2 linked regions of the Drosophila melanogaster genome follow. The protein of the gene in region 2 interacts with the protein of the main gene of each other region in a pairwise test. Each region holds a gene or a part of one and is shown on either strand. Other genes may lie near its edges.

Region 1 (3,758 bases), on a different chromosome or scaffold from region 2:
CGAAGTTGGCATTTTCGGCTGAACTCTGGATGAAGCGCGACTCCAAACGGCAACAATGTGGGAGGACAGTTGAAACGGGCGGGCAAAATTTACATTAATGTGCTTCTCGTGGTGTAACAATTTTCTCATGTAACAAATTTACTGCCTAGAAATGCGTATTTAATATTTTTTAGTCAGCTCTTTAGTCCAGTCCAAGCGGAGTCCTCCACGGAGCTGCTCAACACAATTGGGCGAGTAACAGCGAATTGGGTGGGTGCAGCCGAAATATTATGAAAATTATTTATATTTATGACAATATTTAGTGGTGACAACAGTGCCTTGCAATTCGAATATTGCTGCGCTCTTCTTGGGAGCAGCCAGCTTGTGGGACGCCCCTGGACTGGATTGGTTTATGTGGAAATTCAGCCTTCAGCCGCTCAGTACTCAGTTCGATTCGGGCTTGACATTGCGTCGCAGGATTGCCGCTGCGAGGTCCTGCTTCATGGCCGCCTGCTGGCGCTGATCGGCCAGTGATTGTGTGCTCCTTAGTCCGTTCACGATGTCCTTGGTCTTGCCAAAGTAGATCTCGTTCAGGGTGTTCCTGATCTTGTTCTCCATCTCCTCGACCATCTTGCCAATGTTGGCGATGTGCGGCGACGACTCGCTGACGTTGGCGTCCTGCTCCTGCTGCCGGGTGAGGGATCCGCCCAGATTCATGGTTCCCGAACCCTGTTTGTTGGTCTGCAGCCAGAGCATTGCCGTGGAGGTGAGCTTGTAGTGGGCCGTCCTGCCGGTGGTCTTCTCCTGTACCTCGACCACATGGATGGAGTCCCAGCAGCCGCGGATCATCTTGCTGCCATCTCCCGCCTTTTTGATCAGTATAACGGCGGCAAACCCGTGATCCAGATCCCATAGGTAGACGGAGGAGACGCCTCCCTCGTAGTACATCTCCCTGTACTGATCGAAGGCATAGTTCGCCTCGATTTCCAGTTTGCGCAGTCGTTCCGAGGGCATTTGGCCATCCTCCAGCGGCGGATAGTAGGAGTTCGACCAGGGCGATCTGTAGGAGTCCCCATCCCGGTTATAGTCGCACAGCAGATAGTCCTTGCCGTGCTCCTTGTCCTTGGCGATCTTCAGCGGCTGGTCCACGGAGGAGAGCAAGTCCTCGCAGAGATCCGGTGCCAAGTCTATCAGATCAATAAGGTTCTTCTCGATCTGCTGGGGCGGCAGCCTCCGCATCAGATCCAAAGCACAGTCCATCTGCATTTCCGACTGAGAAGAGAGGAGAAGAGACACCAGTGAAATTGAATTTGAGTCACTGCACCACCGCCGATAAGAGAGCCCAAAAAATCCCTCCGCTTTCCACTGCCACCCGGCAAACCAGGGATTACCATATATGGGCATTATTTGAGGCCACAGGCCGCCGCCCCTCTGGAGGTTTTCTCGGTGGATTAGGTGATTGCCAAGAATATTTGGCTTGCAGAATGGGCGGTTCCGACCAAAAACACCGTTTGTTGGCCTGCTTTTTTTTCTTGTTACTATTGTAGTATTACTCACCATTTTGGTACTTTCTGCTTTCCCTTGTTTCGATAGTTTTACACTGTTTATGTTAGGGGCCTGCGTTCGCTGAGCAGGGCCGATCTTAAACTCTAGCTAGGATTTCGGGCTTATATTGCAAGTGATTGCACTAAATTGACTCTTTTTCCTTATTATTAGGATTTTTTATTTTTGCTATGGTGTGCTAGAGCTGGAACACAGCCCGATTATTATGCGATATCGTTCATTTTGGTGGAGCATCGATTGCTCGCTCGATTTGGTATATCGATTTCTTACCCGCTAACTATCTAGCGGAAATATTTGAAAATTAACATAACGAATGGCAGTTACTTACTTACAAAAGGCAATAATTTGCAGTACACTTTATAAAAATAAACTCTGGCACTCAATCCGCCCGAAATAAAACCATGGTCTTACTTTTATTATATTTTAGCAACAAGTTTATTGAATTTAGTTTTCGTTCATATACTTTTATGCTTAATTCCATTCTGGTTGCCCATTTCCTCTCCGTGTTTTGTGAGTTTCTGTTACAATGCGTTTGGTTTGTGTGTGACTGTGGGTTTAGCTTACTCGTAGTTTTTAATATGTTACACAAAAATGTATGGCATAATCGTAAATTTTTATCCGAGTTCGTGTTTAAAATATATTTAAGCTGCTTCGCTTTCGCACTCTTCAGACATACATACATACTTATTTAGAAATCATATGCGTGCTCCGAAAACGTATCCTTCTGAATCGATCCTTGGATTTCTTGATTTTTACATTAATTTTAGCCAAATACGTAGCGTGTGGGATTTTGCCTCGTTAGTAGTAGTAGGTTCAATAAACTTAATTAACCGCTTTGGGCTTAGACTCGCGCTTCAAGTGCGCTCTTTAGGTGTATACTTCGACCATATACGATAAATGTAAAATCTCAGACTTTAATTTTTAACTAAGGTGCACTACATACAGAAATCGTTCAGAGAAATGTGAACTAAATCGAGGGATTTTTTTTCGCAGCTCTGGATTTTTAGCCAGGATAAAAACTGTTACAGGTGACTTGTAAAATTAGGGCAGGTTTCACTAATCTCGAATAACTTAGATAATTATAATTTGTATTTCTTAGTCGTTCTTTTGAAGTTTAATATTTCGGCTAATTAATATTGATTTATTTACTTATGCTCTGTCGCATGCTAGACACTGTGCCAATATTCGAAATCAAAAGCGGTTTCAGATTCAATAATAGTACATAACTCCATTTTCAATCGTATTTCTCGTTTCATCGTTTTTCTTTCGCTCAATAATTATGCAACACTTGCTTATCAACGCTTCTTCGACAATCAAATGTAATCACAGTTTTATGTTTTCCTTCTTTATATAAACTCATTTTCATTTAGCTATTTATTTCACTATTTTCGCATTTCGCGTCGAGTATGTGTGTGTGTGTGTTTCTGTGAGTGTGTTTGTTGTGGCTTGTTCTTCTTGACTTGTGTGGGTGGTAAAACTAAAAATTCTTAGGGCTGGTTTACTACACGCCTAGTCCTCATGTGCTTCAAAAACTCACCTAACCTTCTCTCAATCCTCAATCTTCAATCATCGATCCTCGATCTTCAACCTTTCGGATCCCATGCTTATGAACATCTCAACTCACTGATCCTTGCCATGATCGCATATTAGATTATTAATACTATTACGTATTTAGAAAACTTTAAGAATATTGCACAACTTGTGAAAATGCTGATTCTGACTTCTGACCGACTGCCCGCTCGATTCGTTATAAGTTTTTAAAAATATTTCATTTAATATTTAATACCTGAGTTGTTCATAATCGTTTCGCATGATTATTACATCCGTTTTGCGGTTGCTTTCATAATTTTTTTTTTTTTTATCGTAATACATATCGAAAAAGTTTCTGTTTTTCTTCTCATTATTTATTTTTTTTTTTTGTTTGTATTAAATGCATGTATACATCGTCGTGAGTCTTGATAATGCCCTGAGTTTGCTCCAAACGGATTTGCGTTTTTTTAAAACTATTTTTTTTTTTGTTTTTCGTTTAACCTTATGCACGTAAAGTACTTCTCATTCCGAAATTCCCTCGCAAGTGGACCGTTGTCGTCTTTTTTGAATTCAAGTGGTTAAAATTTCGTTTGGGTAATTCGAAAACTTTTCAGTTCAGAACAAAGTAAATCGAATAGTTCATGTGTAACTCAAGTTCTGTTGCATTCATTCTGGTTTCAAAAATA
Region 2 (3,758 bases):
TCTCACACCGTTCGTTTCCAACGAGCTGCTGTACAAGTCCTTCGAAATCTTTGGTCCCATCGAGAGGGCCAGCATCACCGTCGACGATTCTGGCAAGCATATGGGCGAGGGCATAGTTGAGTTTGCTAAGAAGTCATCGGCCAGCGCCTGCCTGCGGATGTGCAATGAGAAGTGCTTCTTCCTGACTGCTTCCCTTCGACCGTGTCTGGTCGATCCGATGTCTGATCCGATCAAAATGCCAACACCATTTTAACAATTTGCATATTTGATGCCCGATAAATCGAAATGTAAAAATTGATCCTTTGCACAAATTAAAACGAATCCATTCCGCTTTGCGTGTTCCTCAAACAATTTCTTAATAACTAATGCTATTTTATACATTCACAAAGTATTTGATTCGCATTGAAGTGGTAATTTCTGTGCAAGGGCATTTCTTTTAACTGCTTATTGGATTGTAAGAATATCATTTTTACTTTTTAAATTAAATATTAATGAATTTATCCCTTTTCAGGCAAACAGTGAGAGTCTGAAGCCAATAACCAAACTTTGTAAAAAGTGCCTGTGCATTCCGGCCAGTTCAACAGAATATGAAAGAATATGTCTTATTATGAATATAAAAAACCATTATTTTGTTATTACTAAATATTTTGAATACTGCGTTAATTCAAATAATAGTTTGCATTGAAGCAAATAAAGCGTTTTTGTTTAAAAATGCATTTTAATTCCTGTGCATGTATTTCTGCATTTTTCTAAAGGGCTACTGTAATATATATTTTTTAATTTGCAAGGGTATATAAACATCGGTTCACGTTAAATTATAGTTCCTTTATTTTTGTTTTCTTTTTAACTATCCATACTATCGATGTTTTCTTAAAAAACCATCGATAGTGCCGACCATCGATGATTCTCCAGCTCTATTCTCGCGCGCACTTTAAAGTCAGCCAAATAATATACAATTAATTCTATCGATATTAGTGTCACCTAGTATTTTATATTTATACACAGCTTACACTTAGTGTTTTATATTTATACACGGCTTTTATCTTATCGCAGAAACATTTTTTTTTAATAATCAAGGCTTGTTATCTTCTAATGAACCCCTTTTAAGAAATTACATTCGCTTGCGTAATACCAACTTTTTTAACAAATGTAAGTCAAATGTTTCAATCATAAAGTAAAAGAACAAATAAAATTTAACAAATGAAACTTTTGGCTGACTGACTTAAACAGGGGGAAATTTAAAACTTTTAAAACCTATAACATATTAACGAAGAAAAATATAAGGATCTGCATTTATTGTTTATATTGACAATAATGATTTATTAACTTCGTGTATTTTTACAAATATTATTTTTTCCTCATATATCAGGGAGTTTGCAGTAGTGCAATGACCTTTTATTTTTAGAAGTACCGGGTCACTAGCCGAGTCGATATGGCCATATATGGTCCGTATAGATATCGAAATCTAAGGAACTAGTAAAGCTAGAAATTTGAGGTCTATAGATATACGTAGACGCTGCGCAACATTGTTAACTGATGGTGTTACGCTTACACATAAGGATAATGTTCTGACATATATTAAGTTTTTTTTATCAGTTTTGTTAATTTCTATCAATATGACAAAAAACTTTTGCCACGCGCACAATGCGCCCAAAACTACAGCGACCAAACTAGATATTTAGATTTTTCAATTATATTTCAGTCTCGTAAATGAATATCGTTTTGCTAATAAATGCTTAGAACGCCAACAATACCACAAAAAAATGTTTTATCTCTCTTGTCAATTTCTATCAGTATAAACACCTTTTGGCAACGCCACATTATACGGCCACTAACTGGTCAAAACACATCCACACATTTGAAAAAAATAAATTTGTTCTTATATTATTTGCTATTTTCCCAATTTCTTTTGATCTGAGTAACGGGTAACTGATAGTCATCGAACTCGACTAAAGCGATGCAAATAGTCGTTCCTGGTAGCTCGACGTTCATAGAGACGGACAGACGGATCCACTCGTCTATTAATTCTGATCAAGAATATATATGGTCGGAAACGTTTCCTTCTGTCTGTTACGTACTTTTACTCTAGGAGTAACGGGTATAACTATGAAGGACTAGTCTGGACGGGTCTTAAAGCATGACGCACGTCTTATAATTGTTTTAATTTGGTCTTTTTTTGTAGCGTTACTGCTAGTGTTGCTGTATTAACCTCATAAATATCCTCAGTATCAAAACGTCTTAATAAATTCATATGTAAATATGAGTCAAACATTGATCCGTCGTCTCTTCAATCAAGCTTGTAGCAGAAATATTTTTATTTTGAACCAAAGCTTGTTATCTTCACATGAACCCATTTTACCAGGTTACATTGGTTTACGTAATACCAGCTTCTTTAACAAATGTAAGTAAAATGTTTTAATTCAATAAAAGAGCAGAAATGTTTCTATCTGCCATTGGATAAAAATGGTTCTAGGTAGTAGTAATGGTGCAAATAAAATGAAACAAGGAATTCTTTTTCTGGCTGATTTACAGTGAAATACAGTGGGTCAGAAATTATTTCCACGAGGTGTAATTTGAATCTTTCAAAGCCTTTAAAAGAAAAATGTCAGAATCATTATGTATTTTTTATTTAAACAACAATGATTTATTATTTTCGTGTATTTTTACAAATATTATTTTTTCCTCATATTTAAAGGACTTTGCAGTAATAATGACCCTTCGTATTTAGAAGTATCGGGTCACTAGCCGAGTCGATATGGCCATGGACAAAAAACTTTTTCCACGCTTACAATCCGCCCAAAACTACTGCGACCATACTTTTGAAAAATATTTACAGTTTTTCTTTATATTTCAGTCTTGAAAATGTCTCTGTATTTTCTTATAAATATTTGAAAACCCCACAAAAAACGTATTATTTGACTTGCAAATTTTTTCTCGGTATAAAAAAAACCTTTTGGCCATGCTCCTTTAACGCCCACTTACCGGCCAAAACTTTAAATTTGTTTTCATTTTATTTGTCATTTTCTCAATTTTTTGAGATGTCTGAATATGTTGAAATTTCTAGTTTGCACTTTCACTAGCCAAAGACACTAGAATAACAAGATAAGTAACGCTCATACATTGGTTTGGCACTATGCAGCCACTTTTTTAGTGACGGTTTAATTTGCTCTCTGTCCGCTTGCTTACGCTGAGAGCGTAAGAAATCTAAAAATAGAATTTGCTTGCTTGTGCGCACTTTTTAAATATATCAAATTGGAATAGACAAAAAAAACTGAAACTGAACAACCGAATCTATTAAAAATGGATAATTTACATACATCATATTCATATTAAGTCAAATGACTTCATAAATATACTTAATAATTAAAGCAAATACAAAGGAAATTATTATAACTACTGTAACTAGTTAAATGTTAAATTTTCCAAAAAGAAGACATAAGAGAAATAAATATTTCATAAAAATAATACGTTGTAGAAAATAAAAATTTATAAAATAAACTGTTTATTGCAAGTCATATCTTGAGGCACGAAGTGCGGACACAAGCACTCAACAATCATTGTCGCATGCTGAACACTCTATTGACAAAAATTCGAATAAAAAGTAATTTTTGAAATTTATTTTGTGATATTATGATTCGGCTATTACTATTTCTAAGCTATATTTAAATAATAATAACGTTAAGGCAATGCAAAACAAGAATTTTTCGCGTGGTGGCAATTGATTAAAAATAATATAGATTTAAAGTCTAAGAACTTCT

Evidence for each region. Proteins that work in one complex are often made in the same cells at the same time.
Region 1: the proteins of mRpS5 (region 2) and cpb interact in a two-hybrid assay, tested with the Drosophila melanogaster proteins (one large-scale study listed by BioGRID).

What each region holds. Positions count from the first base shown.
Region 1 is NT_033779.5:1,702,893-1,706,650, reverse strand, and holds the start of cpb (capping protein beta), read right to left. Parts: upstream 1,750-3,758; 5' UTR 1,540-1,749; coding exon 1,537-1,539; intron 1,521-1,536; exon of another isoform or gene 1,374-1,520; coding exon of another isoform or gene 1,371-1,373; intron 1,252-1,370; coding exon 424-1,251; 3' UTR 1-423. UniProt on the Drosophila melanogaster protein: F-actin-capping proteins bind in a Ca(2+)-independent manner to the fast growing ends of actin filaments (barbed end) thereby blocking the exchange of subunits at these ends.
Region 2 is NT_037436.4:24,535,216-24,538,973, forward strand, and holds the start of mRpS5 (mitochondrial ribosomal protein S5), read left to right. Parts: upstream 1-2,020; 5' UTR 2,021-2,098; intron 2,099-2,147; exon of another isoform or gene 2,148-2,182; 5' UTR 2,183-2,259; coding exon 2,260-2,401; intron 2,402-2,695; coding exon of another isoform or gene 2,696-2,697; exon of another isoform or gene 2,698-2,920; intron 2,921-3,758.